Canis lupus familiaris: one gene and its partners. The protein of the gene in region 4 interacts with the protein of the main gene of each other region in a pairwise test. Links are inferred from orthologs where the notes say so. Each region holds a gene or a part of one and is shown on either strand. Other genes may lie near its edges. The genes, in order: TRIM54, CCDC136, SSX2IP, FAM161A, CDR2, DHX32 and CCDC57.

What was found.
Region 1: the proteins of FAM161A (region 4) and TRIM54 interact in binary tests that used the Homo sapiens proteins (3 or more experiments, as listed by UniProt). The two-hybrid records come from large-scale screens. The link is inferred for Canis lupus familiaris from reciprocal best matches to the Homo sapiens genes FAM161A and TRIM54.
Region 2: the proteins of FAM161A (region 4) and CCDC136 interact in binary tests that used the Homo sapiens proteins (3 or more experiments, as listed by UniProt). The two-hybrid records come from large-scale screens. The link is inferred for Canis lupus familiaris from reciprocal best matches to the Homo sapiens genes FAM161A and CCDC136.
Region 3: the proteins of FAM161A (region 4) and SSX2IP interact in binary tests that used the Homo sapiens proteins (3 or more experiments, as listed by UniProt). The two-hybrid records come from large-scale screens. The link is inferred for Canis lupus familiaris from reciprocal best matches to the Homo sapiens genes FAM161A and SSX2IP.
Region 5: the proteins of FAM161A (region 4) and CDR2 interact in binary tests that used the Homo sapiens proteins (3 or more experiments, as listed by UniProt). The two-hybrid records come from large-scale screens. The link is inferred for Canis lupus familiaris from reciprocal best matches to the Homo sapiens genes FAM161A and CDR2.
Region 6: the proteins of FAM161A (region 4) and DHX32 interact in binary tests that used the Homo sapiens proteins (3 or more experiments, as listed by UniProt). The two-hybrid records come from large-scale screens. The link is inferred for Canis lupus familiaris from reciprocal best matches to the Homo sapiens genes FAM161A and DHX32.
Region 7: the proteins of FAM161A (region 4) and CCDC57 interact in binary tests that used the Homo sapiens proteins (3 or more experiments, as listed by UniProt). The two-hybrid records come from large-scale screens. The link is inferred for Canis lupus familiaris from reciprocal best matches to the Homo sapiens genes FAM161A and CCDC57.

What each region holds. Positions count from the first base shown.
Region 1 is NC_049238.1:21,340,359-21,344,615, reverse strand, and holds the end of TRIM54 (tripartite motif-containing protein 54), read right to left. Parts: coding exon 4,232-4,257; intron 2,693-4,231; coding exon 2,597-2,692; intron 1,965-2,596; coding exon 1,731-1,964; intron 1,474-1,730; coding exon 1,451-1,473; intron 1,341-1,450; coding exon 1,216-1,340; intron 1,055-1,215; coding exon 962-1,054; intron 660-961; coding exon 643-659; 3' UTR 501-642; downstream 1-500. UniProt on the Homo sapiens protein: May bind and stabilize microtubules during myotubes formation.
Region 2 is NC_049235.1:7,706,669-7,710,844, forward strand, and holds the start of CCDC136 (coiled-coil domain-containing protein 136), read right to left. Parts: upstream 2,801-4,176; 5' UTR 2,781-2,800; coding exon 2,723-2,780; intron 1,982-2,722; coding exon 1,874-1,981; intron 255-1,873; coding exon 12-254; intron 1-11. UniProt on the Homo sapiens protein: May play a role in acrosome formation in spermatogenesis and in fertilization.
Region 3 is NC_049227.1:63,807,022-63,809,350, reverse strand, and holds the end of SSX2IP (afadin- and alpha-actinin-binding protein), read right to left. Parts: intron 1,356-2,329; coding exon 1,181-1,355; 3' UTR 501-1,180; downstream 1-500. UniProt on the Homo sapiens protein: Belongs to an adhesion system, which plays a role in the organization of homotypic, interneuronal and heterotypic cell-cell adherens junctions (AJs).
Region 4 is NC_049231.1:63,129,068-63,133,206, forward strand, and holds the start of FAM161A (protein FAM161A), read right to left. Parts: upstream 2,801-4,139; 5' UTR 2,786-2,800; coding exon 2,600-2,785; intron 2,085-2,599; exon of another isoform or gene 1,961-2,084; intron 1-1,960. UniProt on the Homo sapiens protein: Involved in ciliogenesis.
Region 5 is NC_049227.1:23,520,492-23,524,708, reverse strand, and holds the start of CDR2 (cerebellar degeneration-related protein 2), read right to left. Parts: upstream 2,801-4,217; 5' UTR 2,704-2,800; coding exon 2,625-2,703; intron 1-2,624.
Region 6 is NC_049249.1:35,375,324-35,378,823, forward strand, and holds part of DHX32 (putative pre-mRNA-splicing factor ATP-dependent RNA helicase DHX32), read right to left. Parts: intron 3,098-3,500; coding exon 2,852-3,097; intron 1,504-2,851; coding exon 1,404-1,503; intron 1,317-1,403; coding exon 1,158-1,316; intron 1-1,157.
Region 7 is NC_049230.1:986,431-989,930, reverse strand, and holds part of CCDC57 (coiled-coil domain-containing protein 57), read right to left. Parts: intron 1,368-3,500; coding exon 1,145-1,367; intron 520-1,144; coding exon 367-519; intron 1-366. UniProt on the Homo sapiens protein: Pleiotropic regulator of centriole duplication, mitosis, and ciliogenesis. Critical interface between centrosome and microtubule-mediated cellular processes. Centriole duplication protein required for recruitment of CEP63, CEP152, and PLK4 to the centrosome.

The DNA of each region.
Region 1 (4,257 bases), on a different chromosome or scaffold from region 4:
GCCGCGATAACCTCGACCCCGTCCCCTCTCCCCGGGCCCGGACGTGCGCGACTGGAAGTGACCCAGTCCCGCCAGATTAGAGCGGCCCAGGGATGCCCTGAGCACTCTGTGCGTCACCAGTTTTTAATAAAAGTGCTGAAGAGCCTTTGGCCTCGGTTGTGGGGCGCAGGGAACCACAGCAGGGTGGGAGCCCGTGGGAAAGTGCGACCTCCCAGGCCGGCGGGGGGGAACTAGATGCTGGCGCGAGGGCTCGGGCAGAAGGGCCTTCACCCGGGGTCCGCATCTCCATCGTTCCCCCAAGAACTCAGGTGCTGGTGCCGCCGCACCACCCCGACCCTTTTCCCTTGGCACTGAGCTCGCCAAACCGTGCTTGATACCAAGGAGATGCCCCGCAGGGGTCATTCCACTTCCGTCCCTCAAATGGGCCCGGATCCGGAGAAGGGCAGGATGGTGATGGGGTCACTCGGAAGCCGAGACTGAGAGTGAGCAGTGAAAGGAGCTGCGGGTCTGAACACATTAGCCCTTTATTGAGCCCCTCCCCCGCGGCTGGGCGCCGAGCTGGGTGGCGCAGCGGTCTCTGAGCAGGTCCTCCGCGACCCCAGCGCCAGGCCCCGGTGCGCGGGCTCCCCAACAGGGAGCAGCTCAGTGCCCGCCAGTGCCTGGGAAAGAAAGCTCGGTGGGCGGGCGTTCCAGAGGAACAAGGCAGCTCCGAACCCCAGCTCGCCCCTTCTCCCCCAGCCACGTGGCTTTCTCCTCTACCTCCCGACCCAACCTGGTCTCCCAAAGCCCCAGAGGAAAGGCTGGTGGGAAAGAGAGTGTACTTCTGCACGCGCGCTAGGGGGCGCCCCTCCCGCTGGGGGTGGGGAGGCCACCAAAGATCGCTGGTGCCGCAGGGCGGCCTCACTGCAGAGGGGCCCGGGGCGTCGAGCCAGCCCCGCCAGGCCCCTCGGGCCACACTCACCTTCCGGCCCATCCGGCCGCTCTTCCTCCGGCCCTGCGCTGCCCTCTTCCCCGTCCAATGCCACCTCCTCATCCTCTTCCTCCCCGGAAGCGCCTGTCCCCCAGGAAGACCCCGTGAGGTGGAGTCCCTGCTTCTCTGGCCGCGACCTCCCCCCCCCCCCCCCCCCGTCCCCCGTCCCCCGTCCCCCTTCCCCGCGTCGCCTCGGGACGCCCAGTCCCAGCGCCCGCCGCCCCCTCCCATCCTCACTCCCTCACCGGGCTGGAAGTCGATGGTCCTCAGCATTTCGGCCACGTGCTCCACGCTCACGGTGAACTGCTCCATGCTTTCATAGCCCGGTTCTGGCCGTCCTGCCAGCTCCACTTTCGACATTGTCCCGACCCTGCGGCGCGGCAGCCGCTCAGCTGGAGTCGCCGCAGCACCCTCAACCCGCTCTGCGGGGCAGCCGAGCCCAGGCAGCCCCTCTTTGCCTCTCCCGCTCCGCCTACTCACTTATTGATCAGCTCCTTGGCCTGCTGCAGGGAAGAAGGGAGGGTGAGCGTAAGCACCGCGCCAAGCGCTGGCAAAGTCCCATTGCTGGCGCCCACAGTCCTGCGCGGTAGGCGCGGATGCATATCCCGGGTCGTTGAGGAGAAAACAGACTCAGACTGGGTGACTTGCCCGAGGCCGTGGGGCAGTTGGCTGCCAGAGGTAAGACTGGAGCCCAGCCCTCCTGGTGCCAAGGCCCCCACTGCCGCCACTCTGCGGCCTCCCGCCCTCCCCCAGCGCCCACCTGGAGGTACAGCGCCATCTGTGGCTCCTCCATGGACTGGATGGCGGACTCCACGAGCTTAGAGGAGGCTTCTAGGTGGTCTCCATACTGGCGGATGAGGCCCCGGACGCGCTGCAGCTTCTCCTCCTGCTCGCGGGCCAGCGCCTGCAGCAGCTCGGCCTTGCGCTCCTCCAGCACGGAGCACAGGGCCTCGAACCTCTGGTTAAGCAGCTGCTTCTGCCTCCGGCTGTTGTCCTGAAAGAGCGGAGCAAGGATAAGATTTCTAGCTGGGAGAGCACGCACCTACTTGTCCCACTCCCCAGTAAACAGGCGGCACAGACAGGAAGGAAAGTACCCCACCCATAGCCACGGGCTGCTGATAACCCAGGTCTTTTCAGTAATACCAATTACAAGATTTTTAAAAATTGGGATATAATTGACTTTTAGCATTATATTAGTTTCAGATGTACAATGTAGTGAAATGTACATATTGTGAAATGATCATATTTGTACATATTGTGAAATGATCACAAGTCTAGTTATCTATCATTACATATAGTTACAATTTTTTTTCTTGTGAAAACTTGAGATTTTCTCTCTTTAGCAAATACAATATTTTAAAGGAGTTCGGAAGTATCTCTGGTCCTAGTTTTTACTTATATTATCTCATTTAATTCTCAAAAATATCCAGTGAGGTAGCCATCATATTATTATCATTATTTTATATGTTTAAAACAAAGCATAGAGAAGTGAAGTAACTGGACCAAAGTCACGGAGCTACCCTGGGAACTCAAACCTAGTAGCTTGGCTAAGCATATCCCACTAATTGTGATTCCCTCCTCCACCAGGAACCCAGAAATTTCCCCTCTCTCCCAACCCAGACTCACCTCGATGGTCTGGCACACTTCCTCCATCTGTGTGATCACTGCTTGCACACGGTCGTTGCCTGCCACCAGCATTGCGATGCCATCACTGAGCTCGCTCTGCCACACACACAGGCCAGCACTTAGAGCTGGAGGACCCTGTCTAGAGCTGTACCCTTCCCACCCCAGCCAGGGCTGCCTAGGAGAGGACTGTCCCTCCACTCCACCAGCAGTGTAGCTATTCCAGAGATCTAGTGGCTTGGTACTGTCCAAGAAGTGTGAAAGCACATTTGTGGATTCTGTAAGGAGATGGAAAGAGGAGGGCCTCCATCAACAAATGAGAAAGGGACAGACATTTGCCAAATATCCACCAATTGCCAGGCCCTGGACTAAATGCTTCGTCTGTAGATTCACGCCTTCCATCAATTCAGAAAAATTCTTCGTAATTATTCCTTAGGATACTATTACCTCATCTCCATTCTCTTTATTTGCTCATTCTGTGACTCTGAGGAGACATATGTGCTCATCCTTCTCCTCTCCCAGTGCTGCATCCTAGGCTACTTTTTCAGGCCTGCCTTCCTGTTTGCTAATTCTTTCTTCAGAGGAATCTGTCATTTAATTTACCCTTTGGATGTCTTATTTCAACAATCACATTTTCATTTTTAAAAGCTCTATTTGGCTCTTTGTTAAATCTGCATGTTTGGCAATCTATTATTGCTAAGGTTTTATTCCATCCTTTTAAGAAATCATTTTATGCACAGTAATTCCCAATTCTTTAATATTTCCAATATCTGAATTCCTCAGAGGTCTAATCTCTAATTTTGGTTTCTACCGACTTCACTCAGGTACACTTCTTTCTGTATCTTCACTTTTGAATTAATATTTTGTTGTTCTTAATCTAAGGAAACCCTAAGAGCCTAAATTGGGTGGGTTTCCTCCACGCAGATTCTGCATTTGCTTTTGTCAAAAGCCGGTGGCACATCTGACTACCTTAGTTCCTGAGATTCCAGTTTAACCCAAGATTTGTGGAGGTCTTCAGTTCAGGTGTCCACCTTTCAGGAGTCTGGAGGCATAGTCTCAGCTGTCTAGCTCAGGAATACTGCCAACATTTGTCCTCTGATATAATTTTTATTTCCCTTTTTTAAAAGATTCATTTTGTTCATGAGAGAGAGAGACTAGGGGGAGGGGCAGAGGGAGAGGATCTCAAAGTAGAGCATGGAGCCCAACATGCAGCTTGATCTCACAACCCTGAAATCATGACCTGATTTGAAATCAAGAGTCAGATGCTCAACCGACTGAGCCACACGGGTGCCCCACTGATATAGTTTTAAAATTATGTTTTATGTCAAATGTAGTTGTGTGGTAGTGAGAGGGCCTGGAGAGTATCTAGGCTGCCAAACTGAAGTTGCTTGTATCCATCTAATTGTATCCTTAAAATAACTTTACAAGTTGGCATTTTCACCCTCATTTTATAAGTGAGGAAAGTCAGGGTCAGAGAGGTCGAGTGACTTACCTAAGGTCACACTGAGTCATGCATAGAGCTGGGACTGTAGCCCTGATCTGCCAGCCTTTAAAACCAAGTGGAATGAGAGGCTGAAGTTGGAGACCCTGTTCACTGTCCCCAGCCCCACCATGCCTGCTCCCTCCACTGCTTGATACCTTCTGACGTTTGTAAATGGTGGGCA
Region 2 (4,176 bases), on a different chromosome or scaffold from region 4:
CAGGCACTCACCCTGCAGCTCCAGGGAGTCATCCTCATGCTGCCCTGCCAGTTCCCGGGTCTCCTCCAGCTCTGCCACCAGCTGTAGCACCTGAGCCCGCAGCTCTTCCAGCTCTGTCTCTGTGAGGCTCAGACCCCGGTGCTTGCTAACAGACAGGGAGCCCACACTGCCACCTTTCTGCACTTGCTCTTCCTCTTCTTCCACCTCTTCTTCTTCCTCTTCCTCCTCATAGAGAGCTGGGAGTAACACTTCCCCTAGGAGAGAAACCCATCCCACCAGGGGGTCAGAGGCAACTTCTTTTCCAGAGTCCTTCAAGGGCCCTTCTGCTCATTGTCCCAGGGCAGAGATGGTATAATAGTGCCACCTGGTGTCCCCCAAGGAGCCCCCTCGGCAGGACCTGCACTCGGTGATGAGTCCTCAGGTGTAAGGGTCAAGTTTGGAGGTAGCCCATCCCCACCCAGGCCCTTCCTGGACCAGTATTGTACCAGGTGGCCTCTTGCTACTGACTTCGGGCAAACTGAGCAGCTGGGTGCTGGTTAGCTATGTGAGCTTGCACAAGGATACATGCTTCTTGCAGTCCTGGTGGTCTCTGCATAGTGGGACAAGTACTCAAGAAAGGATTCAGATGCTGGCCGTGTCTTTAGGCCAAATGGGACAAGAGTTAAAGTCTGGGGTTTGTCCAAAGTTAAAAAATTATCCAGGTGGCTTGGAAGAAATTAGCTTTTCCAGAATAAGAAAGGGTTGCCTATCGGTAGTTAGAAAAAGAAAACATCTGAATGAAGTGATTTTAAATGTTTTACTGGACCAATACTGAGGCCCTTTCAAATGTATTCTATCACATGGCTGTTCTGAAATTTTCTGCAGAGTCCACTTCCTTTTCTCTGCTGTTAGGAGGCCTCTCCCTTCCTCAAGTGTTATGAGTTCCCTCCTCCTAACTTCCCTCCCCAAACCTGAAGGAAACTTCAGGTTTCAGTTCCAAGGCTGTACTTGTGTGTAAAAAAAAGCCTACCATTTTAATGCATCAGGAAACTGGGGTGCACTGGTCCCCAGCCTCTGGTTGGTGAGTACCCCCTCCTTTGCTGCAATGCAGTTCCTTGAAATAGCGACATTTTGTCAGGATACTGATTATTTGCTTTGTTTTACAATTCTGAATCCCTGGTCTCATGACAGCAGCCTAAGGTCCATCTGGGACCCCTTGTGTCATCTGTCCCCCTTAAAGGAGCAGGGTTGCCCACACAGTGTGCGTGGAGACCTGGGAACACTTCACAGGGAGTCCTGGGAAACGGATCAGCATCCTTCCAGGAGTCTGGTGTTGGCAGCAACTGTCAAGTAACATGGGTGCGGTGGGGATACATGAGTGTTGGGAGGTTGGCCTTCTCACCTGCCCCCTCCCAGGCAATTCTTTCAGGCTGTAAGGGATCCTAAGAGAACCAAAGCCACAAAGGCTTACATTCAAAGTTAGTGGTGGTGGCACCAGAAGGACAATGCTCACTTCACATGCTCACTTCCCTGCTTTTCAAAAATATGAGACAGCTTGGGATCTGGGTCGGGTGGCAGTGAGAACAAACCCCCTGCTGAAAGGCCTGCTTCAAAGCTCTGTCCAACGAGGCCTCTTTCTCTGTCTGGCAGCTCCCCCCGGGACACACAACCTGGTTAGCTGGTGATTAGGGCCCCAAAGGGAGGCACCCAGAACCTCCCTCAAAGCCTGAGCCCTGAGGAGGGGTAGATTTCAGACCTGAAGGGTAGAGGGGGCTCAGGTGAGCTACAGGAAGGGCTCTGTCCTGGCTGGGAGCTCTGGGGACCAGATGGGGTAAGGAGGAAGGAAGGGAAGTTGGCTGAGGGGAGAGAAAGAAAGCTCTTTGGGAAAACTCACCCTCCATAGCTTGCATCCCCCGCCGCTCCAGGGACCCCCAGCGTTGGCCTTTCTTCCTCTCACAACCCTCAGATGCTTCATAGGAGCCTAAAGTGGTCACTGTGGGTCCTGTGGGTAGGAAGAGAGGAGGCACGGTGGGCTACTAAGGGGGCTGGGGGCTGGGGTGCACAGGAGGGAGAGGGGGACGTGCCTTCTAGCCCTCTGGAGCCCCAGAGTTTTTAATCCAGGTGGAAGTGCTCGGCTCACGCGGCCCCGGCTGCGACTTTCCTCCCTCAGCCGCCCCTCGAGCTGGGCCTGCGGGGATCCCGCCCTGCGCTGCCCAACCTCCCCGGCATCCCCAGTTCCAGGCTCCTCTCCCAGCACAGTCTCTTTAGCTGTGAAGGGAGACGGGCGAGAGCCAGGGCAGAGAGGCTGAGAGGGTGAGGTGGTGCAAGGAGGGGAAGGAGGGGATGCGGGGCGGGGGGATGCGTGGGGCAAGGGGTTCCGGGCCGGGGCCGCTCCCCTCCGCTCCGTTCTCTGCCTGGACCCATCCACCCCATCCTCGCCCTGCGCTCCGAGCCTTCGGCCGGAGGGGGCGCAGGGTCTGGGGCCCAGGGCCGGACCGACGGGGTGGAGGGGTGCAGGGCGAGAGACCGCCAGGGGATGATGCGACCGGTGTGGGGAAGACCCAGCCCGGAAAGATGGAGACCGGGCCCGGGGTGAGGGGCAGGATGAGGGAGGAAGACAGGACGGAAAGGTGGGAGCGGCGGAGGGAGAGGGGGGAGAGCGAGGACGTGGGGGTCTGGAGGGAGGAGAGATGGAGAAGAGGAAGGAGTGGCGGCGGAGAGGTGAGGGAGGGGCGGCTCTGACCTGGGCCGGGGCAGCTCCAGCCCGCGGCGCCCGCGCCCGCCCCGGCGCCCGCCTCCATGGCCGCTCGCGCCGCCGCTGCCGTCGCCGCCCGGAGGAGACGCCGCAGCCGCCAGGCCGGGGACCCGGAGCCGGTGCGCAGGGGAGGGAGGGCGGGCCGAGGGGGCGGGGCCTGGCCGGGCCACCTGACGCCACCCCCGCCCGGAAGCCCTCGCTCCACCGCCCTCCGGGACCCGGGCGGCGAGCGGGCGCGGGGGGCGACGGAGCCCGGCCCCAGACTCACCCCAGGGCCGGGGGCCGGGGGCGGGGGCGGGGGCGGGGGCGCCCTCGGAGCGTGAGGCCGTCCCGGAGTGGCCGCGAGGTCGCCTGGTTCCGGCGAAGGGTCCCGCCCGGGCCGGCTGCGCGCGGAGACCCCTCGGGGCCAAGTGTCAGACGAGCCCCGTCCCGCGCGGGGATGGGGCAGGAAGAGCACAAAGCTGGACGCATCCTCCGCTGCTGTTTCCTCCAAACGCGCGGACACACGCCCGCCAAGCGGGGCCCGCGTCCCCCACCTCCGCAGGCAGCGCGGACCCCGGCCGCAGCCCCCACCCCCGCGCGGTGGCCTCTTGCGTCCCGGGACTGACCGCGTCAAGGCAGGAGAAGGGAAGCCAAGGCCGAGATCTGTGACCCGCAGGGCCCTGACCCCCCTGCTTTCCCCGCGCCCCAACCAAGCCAGAGCCCGAACCCCCTCGGGAGGGCGGTGCCTTGGCCCCTCGCAGCCCTCACTGCCTGAAGACCTCTTCCCTCCACCACTCTGCCTTCCCCCCTGGCCCCACACCCAAGGAGCTGCGATGCACGACTTCCACCCACCCTGCCTCTGGAGCCTGTTCCGAGTGGGCACTGCTGATTTTCACTCTCATACAAGGGAGACGTGGAAACCCAGAGGGCTTGTTTCACGTAATCGTTCATTCAGGGCACATCTACCTGGTGCGGGATCAGAGGAGGCAATCGTTCTCAGGTCTCTACAGGTCTCACCCAGGAAAGAAGTGGATACACTTGGGAACCAGGCAGTCCCAATGCATCGAGGAAAGTGTTAGGAGATTCCTGAGCCAGGGACACACACCAATCCCTTTTCTTGGCTATCCACTCACCAGGTTATGGACGTGCATTGTCTGTGTTCACAAGCCCTCTGTATTCTTCAGGAAAGAAGCCTTCCTTTGCCTAGACATACCTACTTATTCTACAACCCTCAGTCAGGAGTCACCTCTAGGCAGCCTCTCCTGATGCCCACCCCTAGACCAGTAGAGGCCTGCTGTGCTCCACACTGTCCTCTTTACTCCTGGGGTAGCACCTGTCACTTTGTCAAGGTCAGGTTTTTACTTTTGTGTCTGCCCAACTTCTGGAAGATTGGGAAGTACTTTAGTCATTTGTGTATGTCTAGCATCTGACAAAGTATCTGACACAATAAATGAGAAAGG
Region 3 (2,329 bases), on a different chromosome or scaffold from region 4:
GGGCAGGCGCTCAAGTTTTCTGGTAGTTCTGGGCAAGAACCTGGGCCTACATTTATCATCATCAATAACAACATGAAGAAACATGCCATTGGGTCTGAAACCGAGATGACACGAGTTTGTCCAGGAGAATATTTGGATAACATCTGATGCTTTTTACACTTTGTCAGATTTCTTTATCATTAGTCGCAAACACCCCATTGGAAAATTGTTACAAAATTATTGGCAACTATACCAAGCCCAAGCTGGTAGAGATGTTGTGGTATCGGTTCCCGTCTAGTAAAGAAAATATCACCACTCAGCTATCTTAAATATCTTTTATCATCCCAAATATCTGAAACCAATATTCTTAGTTTTATTCAAAGGTACTTTTGTTATCTTACCTCTACTACCCTATCATCAAAAGTCCTTTGAAAAATTGTGATAGCCTACATACATAAATCTTCTGCTGTAGAAATCTCAAAAATGCAATGTCAGTAGTGATAATCATCTAAAGAAGTCAGTTTCATGGAACAGCTTTTGAGTATTTATTGCTCAGATGCATTCAAAAAATTCTTAAACATAATGTGGTAATGGCTCTAATACATCTGTAAACAGAATACCACTAAAAAATTTTATTGGCATGAAATACTATAATTATGGACGTGTAAAATTTTTAAATCTTAAAGCCTCTTAACATAATCATGTATATCTATGTACAAAACATACATAAATTTCACTTTATTTAAAACATATGAAAGAGGAAATTTCAAATCACACTAAACATAATAAATATAGAACTTGCTTTGTTAAAAATCTACAGTATACATTCAAGTAAAGGCTAAACTTTCAATGCCAACTATATATGAGACAAAATTAAACATTTACAATAATCAGTTTCCTAAAAGTGCTATTTTTAATACCTATAAGAGGAAACTCATTCTAGTGCTTCTGTTTCCATCCAAACATATACATTCCTTTATTCACAGAACCAGATGCTTCTGTTACTAAAAATACATATCCAAAGCTTTTATATCCTTTTTAATAGATTTAACATTTTAGCTCTTTGGGGGAGGAAAAGTCCAAACAAACAACTCAGACCATCTTAAATTATTAGAGATGATTGGCTTTATGACACACCCTGTCTCAACTTAGATGTGAAATCTGATGAACGTGTTAATGAAAACAATTCCAGTCCACACGTCTAAGGTAAGTCATCTTTTTCTACATGGGAGTTTGTGTAGGTCAAGGAGCATCCACTGTAGCACCCTTCCTGTGATCCAGGTCTTGATGCTGTGCTCCATTTCTGATTTGTACCTTCTCTGCCGACCTGATTTGGTTTAGTTTCTTCAGGAGTTATATTCAGTACATTGATGGAACTGCAGGGAAGAGAAAGATCGATCTTCATCATCATCTCCTCCTTTTATACTTAAGTTCTGCCTCAATATCTATATTTGAATTGTTCCCTTGCCCTATGCTAAGTAAAATTTTTTGAGGACACACTGATTAGGAACAAAGTAAGTATTTCAAAATGGCCTAATTTATCACTTTTATCATATCTATCCACCTAGTTATCTGTTTACCCATCTACTTATTTATCTCTTTGGGCTATTCTGAAGCTCTCTGCCCAACCCAAGCCTGTCAGATACAGAACATGAGGGCTTGGAAAGCTTGTGTCTCCCCATGTTCCCATCTTCCTGCCACTATTTTATAATTCTTTACTGTTTTCTTCTTTGCACATCCATTTGTTCATGCATGCTTTCCTCTACGCAGCCATTCACCCACACAGCTATTTAATGAGAGCCTGCAAAAGCATTAAAGAGTCCAGGTTCTGAGCCAGAGATGGTTTAGGCTCATCCCAGCTGGACCTGCTCAGCTCACTATGTCACTGTACTTCAGCCTCCTCAGTTGTAAAACGGAAATAATAGTATCTCTCTCATAGGGTTGGGTGGAACTGAGTTAACACACATTAAGCATTTACACCAATGCTCAATTAATTGTAAGTGTGAGAGAGCAACAATCTTAGTGTCTGAACCCAGACACAGCTGCTACTCTTTAATGACACAATCTGGGAGGTATGCTCTGCCACCAGCCTCAAAACAAAAAAATCTGGGGCGCCTGGGTGGCTCAGTTGGTTAAGTGTCTGCCTTTGGCTCAGATCATGATCTCAGGGTCCTGGGATCGAGCCCTGTGTTGGGCTCCCTGCTCAATGGGGAGTCTGCTTCTCCTTTTCCCTCGGCACGCCACCCCCTCATGCTTGCTCTCTCTCTCTCAAATAAATATAATCTTAAAAAAATCTGGTTAAATGATTACTTTCAAATCTAAGTAAACAAATGATACATTTTTATCTGCT
Region 4 (4,139 bases):
CAGCTCATCTCTCCTACCTTGTCTCCTTCCCTGCCCTTCTCTCTCATCTCTTTTCTTTTCAGATCCTTAATCACACAAAACTCTTTCTCTTCCTATCTTAGGGCCGCTGCCTCTGCTGTTCCCTCAGCCTGGAATGTTTTTTCTACCCCTAGTCTTCAAATGGCTGCTTTTTCTTATCTACCAGGTATTGACTTAATTGTTTACTCATTTAAGTAGGTTCCTGACTACTTCTTTTTTTAATCACAGAAGCCTATTCATTTCTTTCCCAGCATTTCTCATCTTATAATCATTTGACTATTCATTTTGTATGTCTAACTTCCCCACCAGACTGGAAGCTTTGTGACGATGGGATCTGTCTGCTTCACTCACAAATGAATATTCAGTGACTAGCGCTTAATAACTCTTTGATATTTGTTACCCCATTAGGAAAGTCAGTGAGACTTTAACTGTGAATTCAAGAATATTGCTTTACGCATGCCATCATCAACCACATAGCAAGGCCTATGAAATGCTATCTCCAATGGAGGCTAGATTCAAGGAACATACCTCAGAGCTCAATATGGGCTCAGGATCCTTCAAGGTGTGTGTGGGAGGGGGATGGGGTTCACTGTGGCAAACCAAAGGAGTGAAAGGAGCCTAGTGGTTCTCTAACCAGTCTTTTTTTTTTTTTTTTTTTAAAGGCTAGGCATGGAGCCCAATGCATAGGCTTGAACTCACAATCCTGAGATGAAGAACCAGACACTTAACCAAACTTGCCACCCAAGCTCCGCTCTTATCAGTCTTGTGTGGTACTTATAGTATCCATGAGTTTACTACATTTTGTAGATGATAAAGTTGAAACAAATTAATCTTTAAAAAAACCAAGGTAGAGACTCAAGATGAACTGTGAAGACAAGCTTGGCTCCTGCACCCTTTCCTGCCTTTTCGGGGTTCCTTCTCCAACCGGTGCCCTCTGGCTATCAGGTCTACTGTGGCAGCTTATCCAGATTTGCTTTTGGATCCTCCAAGTGTATTAAACTCATAAGACTTAGCTCCCTTTTCTGTTTGGTAGTAATCTGTCCCTTTGAAACTAGCTTGTTGGATGAATCGATCTCTCCTAAGGCACTAAATTTCTGATACAGATTTGCAGTTTAGCAGGGCAGTCTGGAAGTATACCTGCTACTACAGAAATGACTGACTCCTCCAGCACAGTAAGCCAAAGGAGAATTTAATCTTTGGGGCAGTTGTTCAAATGACAGTCTCATTGGCAGTTATTATTATTATTATGAATTTATACAAAGTGTTCTGTAGATAATGCACACATTTTCTCCTTTGGTTCTCCTAATATCCCAGTAAGAGACACATTTATTAGAGTTCTTTTACATACAAGGAAACTGAGATTGAAGAAAGTTACATCTTAGTATCACCTCGCAAATGGCAGAGAATGGATCCTGTCCAGGATTCCCAATCCTCTTCCTCCACTCAAATCTTTTTCCTCTATCACTTTGCCTCCTTTGTTGGTTCTGAGATTTGTTTTGTGGGGAAGCTTTATTATGAATGAAACTGTTCCCAGGACTCTGACCTTGGTTCATGTTCAGGGTCTCAATGTACCTTACTCTGGATGACCTCGGGTAGTTTGTCCGCTGGTGAAATACTGACCATTGAAGGTGTTGCTACAGATTTTCTCCGTAAACACTTTTAGTGTTTAGGATAGAATTTTAGTGTTTAGGTTAGAATTCCAAAATACCAGTGATTTTTTTAGCCATAGACCATAATGGTTTGTATCTGAGATGCTCTGGACAAACGGTATTAAGAATCTTTAACTGGGGGTAAGGTTTATATCTGCACATGGCTAGCTAAAATTCAATGGTCCCATCTTTTAAGGGAACAGAGTAGATGGCAAACTCAGCCCTCTACCTGATGGGCAGGTGCTCACAACACATTTGACACTGAACATTGATCTGTCAAGGGGCTTTCTCACCCTGAAGAGTCGTTTAGGAAACTGGAACCTCAGTCATTTGTTTCTCTGGATGCTTAACGTTCATCTGTGTATGATGTGCCCCCCTGAACTCTTGAATGGGTTTAAACACCGCCTCTCCTGTACACTGTGAAGATGCACCAATTAAAAAAAAATAATAATAAAATTTTAAAAAATGCACCAATAACCAAGACTTTAAAGGGACAACAAAACACACCTGACAGCACAGCTGATTCGCCTGAGTTTTATGAGTCATGCACTATGGGGTACATCAGTTCTCCGCAAGTTGAAAAGAAAAAGCAGTAACTGCTTTTGCAAGTGCGACAGATGCTGGAGCAAGAGAAGTAAAGCTCTATACTTGATGCTCTCTAGAAATGGAGGCTCTCCAAGAAATCTTTTTTTTTTTTTTTGCAACGATCTCTTTGTGGAAAATTAAAAGATCTTCCAATCCAGCGCCCCGGTTCTGAGTACCTACCGTGGGGGTGCAGAGAAGGTGCGGACCGGGCCCACTGGGGGAGGGGGTTGGGCAGGGCGTCGCGCCTCCCGGCCGCGAGGCCGCCGCTCACCCAGCGGGACCCGAACCGCCCGCCAGCCAGCACCCGGCGCACACCCCGCCGCGGCCCGCGGCCGCCCCTGCATTACCCGCGCCTGCGCCCGCGGCGCCGCCTCCTCTCCGTCTTCCTCGTCCCTCAAGGCCGCGGCCGCCGCCGTCGCAGCCTCCGAGGGGTCTTCGCGTTGGGACTGGGCGGCCTGCGCTCCGGGGCTGGAATCTCCCGGGGACTGGAGGCGGGCGGCCGCCGGGGTCGCCGCTCGCTGCGAGGCTGCCATGGCCGCGCCGCCGAGGCCCGCGCTCGCCCGGGGCCGGGGAGCGGGCGCGGACTCCCGCCACCCGGCGGCTCCCGGCTGGGGCGGGCGGTTACCAAGGGCGCCGTAACCAGGGACGCTACAGGGGCCGCGAGGGGCCAAAAGGCCCCCGGACTCCCCTTCCGGCGGCGGGAAACCCGGGGCGGGCGCTTCCGGGAGGCGCGGCGCGAGGCTGAGCCTTCGGCCGGCTTAGAGGGTTGGCGGGCGGGAAGGGGCGCCTCTGCGCCAGCCTCCGCCTCGCCGCCCAGGTGCGCACTGCTCGCCTCGTACCGGCGAAACGACTCGCTTTGTAGGAAAAAACAATAGCGCGTTTTCATTCACTGAACTAACACGGTAGTGAAGGCGGCGGCGGAAAGCAGGCGATGCTGTCGCGCGGCGACCTCAGAGCAGCCGCGTGGTTCGCACCTGTTACCTGACACGGCTCCGCCGGAGCCCGAGAAGGGGGAGCAGAGGTACGTTCTGCTGATTGACCTGAGAGCTACCGGTCTTTTTTCTTCCTTTTTTTTCTTGGTTTGACCAATCAAAGCCCAGAGTTAGGTGGAGCCTGGCCCACCCACCAGTGATTGAAATTGCAGGTGCACGAAGCGGGCCTTTGCTGCAAGGGGCAAGGGTCCACCAACTTGGAACAGTAGCCGCAGACACATCCCACCTCCACCCCACCCCATCAGCAGCTCCCCACTCAAGATTTGGGCGTTTCAAGAGGCGGCTTCCCCCTGTCCCATGGGACTGCGGTGCAGCCTCAGCCACCTGCTACCTAAGTCCCTGCTGCCTCAGGCTGAGGCTGCCATCACCCTCTCCTCCCTATCCTTCAGCCTCGTCGTGCCCAGGAGCCCTAAGCTGCAGCATGTGCTGCATGTGCTGCATGTGCATGTGCTGCCTAGAACTTATCTCTGAGGTCTGAGCTCATTTTCTTTTTTTAAATCATTTTTTCTTTTCTAATCAAGCTTTACATCCATCATGGAGCTTGAACCAGGACTCTGAGATCAAGAGTCACACTCTCTACTGACTGAGCCAGCCAGGCACCTCTGAACTCTTCTTACCAAGCGTTTCTTGCATATGGAGCTGGAGTGTGAGTATCTGCAAAATCCCCCATTTCCCCACCTCCTTCAGGCTGTTCTTTGTTTTGGCTGAGACTTGCTTTGCATACTGGAACGGGTACTGGTTGGATTCTGAGCAGAAGCTAGAGCTAGAAGCTTATGAGGTATATGGATGCCATAAATATAGGGACTTCTAGTCATTCACATGCAGATGGTTCTGTGGCCACACGTGCCCCTCTTGGGGCCTGACCCCAAAACAGCAAGACAGACCTACATGCTGA
Region 5 (4,217 bases), on a different chromosome or scaffold from region 4:
GTCTCCAGGATCACGCCCTGGGCTGCAGGTGGCGCTAAACCGCTGCGCCACCGGGGCTGCCCAAGTTTAGGTATTTTTTAACATATAATTTTTAAAAACTGGGACAAAGATATCCTTTTATTCACAGTGCAGACTTCATTCTTCTACAGGCTATATTCCACAAGTTATAATTGTTGGAATTTCACATCTATTCCTAACCCACACACTTGGTTATGACATACAGGGTTATGTCAAAGTCAAATTGTGGTAACAGATGTAAAAGTCTTCCAAAAAGTAGAGAACAAATTCCAAATGCAAAGTGACATTAAGTTGATTTAGACCTGTGCTCATTAAAGTTTCATTAAACTTGAACATCCGATGGCTTTGTTAAAGAGGTTAAAGAATTCCACATGTAGTGCCAACATGTTGCATTTGTTTCCCATAGACTGAAATCTTATGACTGGTTGTTCCTAAAACTTCCCACAGGGTGGAAGGGCAGTGTGGACTAAAGCACCTGATGGAAGGGAGCCATGAAAACACTAATCCCATGTGAGCGACTCAGTTCAATAAGTATTAAAACTGAGCCTCTATTATGTGCTAAGTATGCTAGATTTTTAAAAAGGGGAGAGGGCCTGCACAGATCTATGCTTGCTAAAGAAAAATATTTAGCTGTGATTATACAAACTACATAATTTATTGTAGGAAAATGCTCCAATTGTGCAGTGGTTGCCTCATTAAACCTGGAGAATGTATCAAACTAGGCCATCAATCCTTATAGGGAATTAAAAAAAATATTTAATTTATTCATGAGAGGGATCCCTGGGTGGCGCAGCGGTTTAGCGCCTGCCTTTGGCCCAGGGCGCGATCCTGGAGACCCGGGATCGAATCCCACATCGGGCTCCCGGTGCATGGAGCCTGTTTCTCCCTCTGCCTGTGTCTCTGCCTCTCTCGCTCTCTCTGTGTGACTATCATAAATAAATAAAAATTAAAAAAAATAAAAATAAAAAATAAATAAGAAAAGGGAGGGTTCCAGCTCACCTTCCTTTAAAAAAAAAAAAAAAAAAAAAAAAAAAAAAAAAAATTTATTCATGAGAGACACAGAGACTGAGGCAGAGACACAGGCAGAGGAAGAAGCAGGCTCCACGCAGGGAGTCCGACATAGGACTCGATTCTGGGTCTCCAGGATAACGTCCTAGGCCAAAGGTAGGCACTAAACTGCTGAGCTACCCAGGCATCCCCCTTATGGGGGAGAGGGGCAGCAGTTTTGAAAACAGCTTCCTTAAAATGTAAGACAAATTTGCCTATGGACATTCAGAACATGATGGGAAATACTGCACTGCAGCCACTGAACAGCTTGGGCTATTTAAGTGAAATGGTGAACTACTTTGGTTTAAGTGACTGTCCACGGCATATCAGAAGCCACCTTTCCCCAAAAGAGTTGTTTTGTTTTCTAAGTACAAGTCATTCAAGCCTACATCCTTCCCTGCCACCCCACATTCAATGATTAGCATGAACCAACACCATGGTCATTTAATAGTCACCTCAATTAGATGTTAATTTTCAGTGCACGTTTAAAGCTAAAAAAGTTGATTTACCCAGAACTGCAGACACCAAAGGTGCCTGAAAAAAATTCCTAAGGAGTGTTCAGTATAGTGGCTAAGAAAGTTTGCTCTGAAGTTTGGAGTGGAACCCTAGATCCCCCAATAATAGAATCTACTAGATTCATATAGCTTGATGAGAGGATCAAATGAACACCAGTGTTAAGAACCCACACACTCAAAAAGTGTCCCCAGTTGCACATTCCCGCTATTAATACCAAAAGAAAAAAAAAAAAAAAAGGGGAGGGCACTGGCTCCAAACTGAAGGCTGCTCCAAGATTTCTCTGGAGACACTTTCGGCAAGAAATCCAAGGCAGGCCAAGATCCCAATGCCTGTTTTTAAACTTACAAAAAATAATAATAAAATAAAAGCTAGAGCGCAAACTGCAAAGTGCCTCAAGTCACTTTCACTTGGCATCTGAACTATGCATAAGCAACAAAAAAAAAAAAATTTTTTTTTTTTTTTCAACTTTCTGACACCCAACTGAAGAAGCTGTAAACCGGTGATAAAGAAGACACAGGGTCTGGGCAGTGGCCATGACTCCTCGTTCTGAGTGTGTGAGTTCAAAAAATGCTCGCCCCCATACTTGACTCGAGCGAAGTCATTTGGCCCTTTTAACTTCGCTTTCCTCATCTGGGAAATGGGAGCAAGAGAAGAGAAGCTCCTCTCCGGGGAACGGATGGGGCGGCTGACGTGGGCGGGCCCGGCACGGTTCCTGCCACACACCCCGCACCCCCCCCCCCCCGCGACCCCGACCACCTGCGGCGGCTCCCCGTCCACGCGGGCTACGCGGGGTCCCCCCGGGGAAGCGCCCCCCACAGAGCGCGGCCCACACGCAGGGGTGGCGAGGATCACTGCGCAGAAGCGGCCTCCGGCGGGCCGGGCGCGCGGCGGGTCCCCACGCCAGGTGAGCGCCAGACCTTCCCGCACCTGGCGGCCCCCGGCCGCGGGCAGGGGCGACTTCGTAACGGTCTCGCGCCCGGGCGGCTCCCGGCCAGGCCGCCCTCCCGAGGAGTGTGTGTGTGGGGGGGTGACCGCGCCCTCACCTTGCTGGAGGTCCTGGTGGTCGTACCACGGCTCGTCCTCCTTCATCTCAAACTCCTCCACTAGGTTTTCCGCCAGCATCTCGGCCGGCTCTTCCGGGGGCAGCGGCCCCCGCCGCCGCCGTCCCGCCTCAGCCGCTGCCCCGGGCGCTCCACCGGCTCCTCCGCCCTCAGCCAGAGCCGCCCTCGGGCGGGACGCGCCGCCGCCCAGGCTCCGCCGCGCCTCCTGACCAGAGCTGCCGCCGGGCGACCCGCCCCGCACGCCGCGCACCGGCTCCCCGGCCCGCCTCGAGCCGCCCAACGGCCCCAACGACCGGAGCCCCGGCTCGAGCGCCCGGGCCGGCGCCCTGAACCGGCTCCTCACGCCGCAGCCGGGCCCAACGTGGCACTTTGGCAGAACCCTCCCCGGCCGGGGCCGCGATTCAAACCCCCGGCGGCGCCTCGGCCAATCGCGAGCGGGCCGCCGGTCGAGCGGCGGCGACGTCGTCCAATCCCGTCTCACCGCAGGCCCGCGGGTCGCCCGGTCTCGCGGGCAAGCAGCCAATGGCGACTCCGGAAGAAACAAAGAAGGCGGGGGAAAGGCGAAGGGGTGCGGCCGAGGGCCCCGCCCTCGCCTGTGCGTTGGGTCGCTCCTGGGCCAGCGTTTGGGGTGCTGGCGGTGGAGCTGGCGGCCTCCGCGGCGCCAGTGGTGGGTGTCCGGCCAGCCAGTTAGCCAGTGGGCAGCCTAAATGGGCTGCAGGGGCGGGGGCCCGCGTCCGAGCCGTGGGCGGCTGTCGTGGGCGCCCTTCGTGCGAGCGGAGGCGCGAAGGGTGCCGGGAGCCCGAGGTCCGCTGCGCGGCTGGCCTCTTCTGGACTTTGGACCCCCCCCCCCCCCCAGCTGTGCTCCTCGAGCTGGGAAGTTACGGATCGGTCGGTAGTTTAGGGCTGTTAGCTGTCTTCTCCTTGATTGAGCGCTCACCTCCAAACCCTTGAGAGTTGTACTCACTTCCCCCTGAAATGAAGGGCTCCCATTTGAGTGTCTGGGGGGGAGGGGGGATAGGGTGCAGTTAAAGGTATTTCCTTAGGGGAAAAAAATTGCAAGCACTTTTGTACACGATTTTTATAAGGTTCATAGACCGCCAGGTGTAGTACCCAGGGTCGTGACGTTGCACCTGGAGGGAGCTGGAGCTGAATGCAGCACTTGATGGCCAGCAGGGCAGTGAACTTCGCTTTCCTTGGGGTTAAAGTTAAAGTTAATTGCTACTCGTAGGGAGCGGCCTTTACCATCATCGCGCAGACAAAACTCAGAAACTCCTAAATGGGGTGATTGGAAGGTAAATGTTCTCGACCTTGACGGAAAGGTCAAGATACAGCTCATAAAAGACAGCCGTGCTCTCTCCTATAGTAGTAGAATGCCAACCAATAAACGTAGAAGCAATAATGGTATTAGTAATAAAAGAGGAACAGTAAACTCAAATCCTTTTCTTCTGAATTCGGTTATACCAAAAGGCAAAATGTTACTGATTACTTTTTATTGCTAGGTTAAAAAAAAAGAAGAAAACTGGGTTACGTTACAGCCTTTACTTAGCCCTAATTGTCAAAATTCAGGTAGAGATA
Region 6 (3,500 bases), on a different chromosome or scaffold from region 4:
AAGCACCAGAGAAGGGATGGAGGGCACGGATGACTAGGACAGATGCTCAGGCCCCTGGGGCTCCGGTCTGTGTAAGGAGACACTGCAGCAGAGGGTCCAGCTTCTCATCTGCGTGCACGACCTAACTTCTGTGACTCTGTTTCCTCATCTGTAAAATGGAGCAATTCAGAGCATTTAGCTCAGAGGGCTGCTGCAGCACTGAACCACTGCGTCTGCACAGGCCACAAGGACGCTACTGCTGTTCCCCCGGAGACGTATTTAAATGGACAAGAACAAGCAGAGCGTTTGCTGCTTTCAACCTTTCGTGGCCGCTGATTGCTAACATTTTAAACTCCAGAGCCAGCATCCCCCCGCCCCCCCGCCCCGACATCATAGGCAGAACGGAAGCCGTTTGCCCGCCAGGTAGGAGAAGCCAACTGGGAATGTGGGAGGCTGAGGGGAGCTGGTCCCGGCTCCCCTTCCCAGGCTGACCATGTGGCGTGGCCGCCCTGCACACCGCAGAGGCCACCTGTCCCTGCTTTCTCGGCCTTTCCACAGCACTCTGCTGGTGTTCCACGGGGCAGTTGCGGTCCCAGGGAGGGCAGCACTGGAGCGGAGACAGCCAGCACCTCCTGGGTGACAGGGGGCTTTTGTCAAGGGCCTGCCAGAGGCGTCATTCCCCTTGGAGGGTGATGGCCAGCCCGTAGCTAGAGTCTCGGTCCTAGGCTCCGGAACCTCACCCTCCGTGGAAATGCTAGACCTTAACTGTGAAGGAAGGAACTTCCAGGGGAGCTCCCCCGGGTGATGGTGCGGTGCAGGACAGCTGGCTGACTCACGTCCCACCGGGAAGCCTGGAGGCCACCAGAAGTCCCCTGCCCTCTGCAGCAGGCGGCCTCTGATGCCACACTCAGACCCGCTGGGTCTCTCAGGCCCAGCCCCCCAGGCTCCAGGGTCCAATGACAGATAATTCTCCAGGGTTGGGGCAGATGATTCTAGAGGCTTTTTAAAAAAGTCCTTCTAAGACTGTTTCCCTCTAATGGGAAAAATGCTTCAGTATGAACCAAACCCCGACGCTTGCTTGCTCCGCCAAGCGCCACCTGCTCTTCACACTGGGCTGGGCAGGAGGCGAGGCGGCACATCGGGGCCACGCGCTGGCCAACACACGAGCACAACGCTACCTGGTCTGTTCATGAAGTCGCAGTGGCCTAAGCCCGCGATGTCCACTCTCTTCATGAAGAGCACCATGCTGGTTAGGTTAGCTTCCTGCATTTCGGCTGGCTTTAGTGGCCGCATGTCTTTGGAGGCAAATTCCTCAGAGTACAGGCAGAAAAGTTTTCCTAGGAGAAACCAAGAAGAATGGTTTTAACGTCTCTAGGCTGCCTTCCCACAGGAATTGGCAGTGGTTTTCGTGACCGTGGTGCTACCTGAAGAAGATGAACCAAGAATCTGCTTGCGAATCTCTGCTTGGCTTTGGCTGATGGGCTGCGTGACAAGGGAGTTTGCTCTTATCCTAGGGTTGTACACCTTTAAATGGAAAGACAGGCTCTTTAGCATCAGATCACTCAAGATTTCACAGGCTCGATGGACCTGAGGGGACCGTGTGGGTCGGAGCACGTCACTTCTTGAAATGCTCTGCTATGGACTCATTCTCTCTGGACGACGCTTATTATTTCCCTTGCTGTGAGATAGAAACTGCTAGTGCCTTGATAAATGGATTTCAAGTTGTCTGCTTTCATTGGAGGTTCAATAAATATGGGACCTCTACACCTGTCCTGAAATGCTGGCAGTGTCATTTCTCAAAGCATGACACTGTGATGACGACAGATGGGCATACGCCACATATGCACCAGCATCATCATCTGCTGATGGGACTGTTCAAGGTTTTATTCAAATTGTGACCTCAGCGGTCTGACCTTGATAAGCTGAGCTTCTCCAGATATAATGGCTCAGACAAAGGCTGCATGTGGCACCAACAGTGATTTTTTTTTCTATTGAAAAAAAAAATTTCCTGTTGGTGGGGGAGAGGGGGTCGGGGGGAGTGCAAATAATATCCCTGGGTTTTCTGAATGGTAAGAATCCAAAGTGGCTCCAAGGGAACCTGCGGAATGGTTGGAATCACTCTGTAGCACTAAGACAGTAAGATACTAGGAGAGCCAGTTTCCTAAAGGAGAAAAGCTACGTGATCTCTAATAATGCGCAACGGGATCAATACTTGGGTAGGCTCTTTCAGTTCTTAAATGCTATGATTTCTTATGTTCCAGTGTCTTTGAGAGTTTGAGATATCCTACTTGCACTTTTCCTAATTTTATTTAAAGACAGTTATAAAAAAATATTTTTAAAAGCTTAGGATAGAATTTTATCAGGTCAACATTAAAGCAGAAACTTGGTAAATTAAAGGCTGTGTACTGGAAACTAATTTCTGGCAAATCACCTCGGGGAAGATGCTAATGATGTTGATAAAGGGGCTACCAAAAATACTCAGTAGATGTACACAGGGAAAGACTGGTTCAGGAGTCAAATAACTTGCCTTGCTATTATTTAATAATTATTTATTTAATTATTATTTAATTGCTTATTATTTAGCTTACGAAAAACCACTGACAAGGAGAACCACCACCTTTATGCTTTAGCAGTTGTGTCTTTTCTCAAAAGGTTTTCCTGTGGCACCGCAATCAACTTAGTTTGGGGATTACCTGTGTGCTAATGAAAGGCAGGAATGGGTAAACAAGACTGGCAATACTTTCCCTTTGCACACATGAGCATATCAGAGACTCCCCAGACCACATGCGTCACCCTCACTTCCCAGTGGATACAACTGCAGGAACCCAAGGACAATTATCAGCAGATGGTTTACCTGCTTGATAATAATTACCTTTCTCCTCTCCACACCCACATCGATAACAAATCTGACCGTATTGCTCCAGATCAAAGACTCTCCAGAGCTAGCAGTTAACACCACTCTTCTCTGATAAACTTGGCATCTTTTTTCTGTTTCATCATTTGGCTTGAACAATGCACATTTCTCTTTTGGATACAAAGGAACCACCACCAGCTCTCCAAGATCTGGGTTTAAGTTCGATCCTTCCTGGCAGACGATTTCATAGGCTTTCTCAATATCCTAAAGTAAAAAATAACGTCATTCATGAGAATAAACATGTCACAAACAACTCTGCTACTTAAAAAAAAAAAAAAAAAAAAAAGTCTAATTAAATAAAACCGTCGGCAAAAGCTGCAGAATGTATACATGGAAAGAAATACCTGTGTTGTTGTCTATGTGAATCATTATGTGAAAAGAAGATGTAACTGGATGAGAACATTTCTCTGGGGAAGTTAAATATAATTTATAAACAATTTCATTGGGGATCCCTGGGTGGCGCAGTGGTTTAGCGCCTGCCTTTGGCCCAGGGCGCGATCCTGGAGACCCAGGATCGAGTCCCACGTCAGGCTCCCGGTGCATGGAGCCTGCTTCTCCCTCTGCCTGTGTCTCTGCCTCTCTCTCTCTGTGACTATCATAAATAAAT
Region 7 (3,500 bases), on a different chromosome or scaffold from region 4:
GTGGAGACCAGGTGATCTGGAGGTGGGGGTCCTGCTCCCCCTCCCTCCCCATACATCATCCCTGCCTGGCCGGCGTCTGCCCCCTAGTCCCCCAGGTAGACCCTCCGCTGGGCCAGCGCCCCAGCCAGGTTGAGGGGGCATCTGCGTGCGGCCGAGCAGGTGGGGGGCAGGGAGGTGCCCACATGGAGGGGTGAGCAGCCTGGCCCAGGGACTCCCGGGCACCGGGAACAGGGACCCGCGGCTGTGATCCTTCCTTGACCTGTGCCTTTGCATTTCCTGCACTTGCTGTAGCGTTTATATTCCAATGAAAACAAAGGCCGCGTCAGTGGGACAGAGCATGCGACAGGAGGAGACGAGGACACTTACCGGGGGCCTCAGCCGGGCAGTGGACACTGGGCTGAACGTCAGCGTAAGATGAGGACCTCTTTGCAGGATCTAAGACATCTTCTATTTGTTCCTCCAGGGTTTTAAGTTTATCCTTTAGATTTCGTATTTCCGTTTCAAGGACCATAACGTGATCTGCCCCCAAAAAAACCAGTAAATGCACAGGCACACACACGGACGCTCCCATCACCGTCACCTAGGTAGAGGCCCACTCGGGCTGGGGTGGCTGGCTTCCCTGCCCGCCCACCCATAATGCCCCCCCCCCGCCTGCGGCGAGGGCGCTCCCTAAGGAGGCAGACAGGCAGCACCCCCTCACCCCCACGCACTGGCGTCTGTGGGAGTGCACGGCGTCTCACGCGCGGGGCCGTGCTGCCTGGGGCCCTCTGCTCACGGCCACTCCTGGGCCACCAGTGGGGCCCCGCTCCGCCACAGCACAGGACACCCCGAGGAGAGGCTCAGCGTCCCCAGCCCCACACTGCCCGCCACTTGAACAGCGCCCAGCAGCTCCCCGGCCAGCGGGCTCCCGGCTGGAAGTGCCAAGGACGCAGCCCTTCGCTCTCCTCGTCCCCAACCAATAAAACGCTGTAACCCCTTTTGTGAACACGGACTCCACGAAACCTCTCTCGGGGGAAGGCTGCTGCCACACATTGATGTGATGTTTTAAAGCAGTTGTTCATTTACAGACTCCAAGTGAGCCCCTTTGGGACCCGTGGAGACCCACGTACCCCCAGCCCCTGCCCCCACCCTCGCCCTCACTCACCAGGAGCCTTCGCAGCTGCCTCTGGATGTGGCCGGGGCTCTTCTGGGCCGCCGGCCTGACCCCCTGACGGGGCAGGAGGAAGAACATGCTCACTCAGAGTCTCCATTTCTTTCCTCATCTCTGAAACAGCCCTTCGTAAGCTTGTGTTTTGCTCCTGGAGCCTCTGGATCTCATAGGACGGAAAACTTTCCTTGGTTTCTTCTTCACGATGCCTTAGGAGCACCTGGCACATACAAAAAAGAAAAGAAAAGAAAAAAAAAAAAAAAAAGAAAAGAAAAGAAAACGCTGACAGCTAGGAAGACACCTGTGGCATGCTGCCCATCCAGGGCTGGCCGCATCTGCACTCCCTCCCGTCTGCCCACCCGGCGGCAGGAAACTTCCACCTAAACTGACGGGGACAATGAAAACCTTCCCAGCAGGCGCTGGGAAGACGAGCCTACTGTTTGACAGGCAGCTTCCTTCTCAGCTACAGTGGCAGCTGGTGTGGAAAAGACAGGCAGGCAGAGTGCCCACAGGGAGGGCTGCTGCGTGTGTGTGACGGCGCGTCGCCATGGAAGACCGTCTGGCGGCTCCTCCAAGGATCAAACACAGAGTGACTCCCGACCCACACTCCGCTCCTGAGCATAAGCCCAAGAGAACCAAAAACAGATGGCCCCGGCAAAACCTGCACACGCGTGTTCACGGCAGCATTTTTCACAGGAGCCAAAATGTGCAAACACAACCATCCACCAATGGATGAATGAATTAAAAAAACGTGGCAAGATGGAGCAATGTTCAGCCATGAAGAGGAGTGAAGCCCTGACACACGCGATCCCCCAGGTGAACCGTGAAGACACGCTCCGTGGCCGTCAGAACCTGAGCACAGTTGCAACCACAAACACACTCAGGGAAAGGAAGGAAAATGGGCGTAAAAGCAAAAGAACAGAAAAGAATTTTATTTATCTTTTTAAAAGATCTATTTATTTCAGAGAGAGAGCCAGTGCATGGGGCGGGCGGGGGGAGAAGCAGACGCCCCTGAGCAGGGAGCCCCACGTGGGGACTCAATCCCAGGACCCGGGGTCAGGACCTGAGCCAAACGTAGATGCTCAATCACTGTGTCACCCAGGAGCCCCCAGAAGATAATTTTAGAAGAACCAGAATTTCTGGAGAAACGAGAAAGACATCATTTGAAATAATAAATTCACTGAGGATGGCCTGGGAGCAGACCAGAAGGTGCAGGAAGGAGGGAGAGACGGGAGCATCAACAGGCTCTGCGGAAGAAGTCCTTCAGTTACGACACGCTGACCACAGTACCTTCGGATTGATGAGAACAGAGGACCACAGATGCAAGAAGTCCACCAAACTCAAAGCAAGATAAACACAAAGAAAATCCCACCAAACAGCACGTCATCATCAAATTCCTAAAACAGATCAGAGATAGAAAATGCCCAAAAGCGATGAGAACACAGCACACTCGGCACGCACAGGCACAGATACCAGGTTTCTGCTGACTTCTCATGACAGCCACTGGAATCCATGGGACAGAGGGAGGGTGGGCGTGCGGCGTGCAGGAAGGGGACGCCCCACGGCCCCGCATCCACGCTCAGCGGTGGCGTCCTGAGGAAATGACAGCGACACAGGCTACGGCCCTGAGCACAGGGCTTCACCGCGGCAGGCCCGCTGCTGGCTGTCAACACCAGAAAGTCAGATGAGCTCCAAGAAACGAGGGTCTGCAGACCCGCTGGCAGGGAAACACGGCGCCTGAACAAGGGGGGCAGGGAGCGCAGCCCGGCAGACTGCCTGGTCCTGGTCTGAGCCCTAGGAGAGCCCCTGGCACAGACACGGGCCTGCAGGGTCCCCCTGACACACGGACATGGGACTGCAGGACCCTACTCCGTCCGGCATGGACACAGGCCTGTGGGGTCCCCTCCCCACATGGACACGTGCCTGCAGGGTCACCCCACACACACAGACACAGGCCTGCAGGGCCACAGCTGTGCTCACTGTGCGAGGGGGCCGCCGCCCCAGTACCGCCCAGTCTGCAGCCCCCGGTTCCCTGCAGCCCCAGTGGCGCTCCAGCCAGTCGGCGAGCTCCCGGGGACGCATGAGCATAGCCTGCGCACCAGGGTGGCAGGGGCTAGCCGAGCATCTCAGCGGCCGCCCGGAAGGGATGGGCTGTGCGGTGCGACACACAACCATTTACGTTGTGTTTTGAAGAATTACAATGATGTAAAAAACAGTCACTGCACAAGTGGAAAAACCTCCAAATCCGATAGCAAGACCTGACCTGCCCAGAGAGAGCACGTGCCTGGGAACATGGACGAGGTCCACACGGAGAGGCCACCAGAGCCGCAGGACAGCGCCCCGAAGGTCGGCC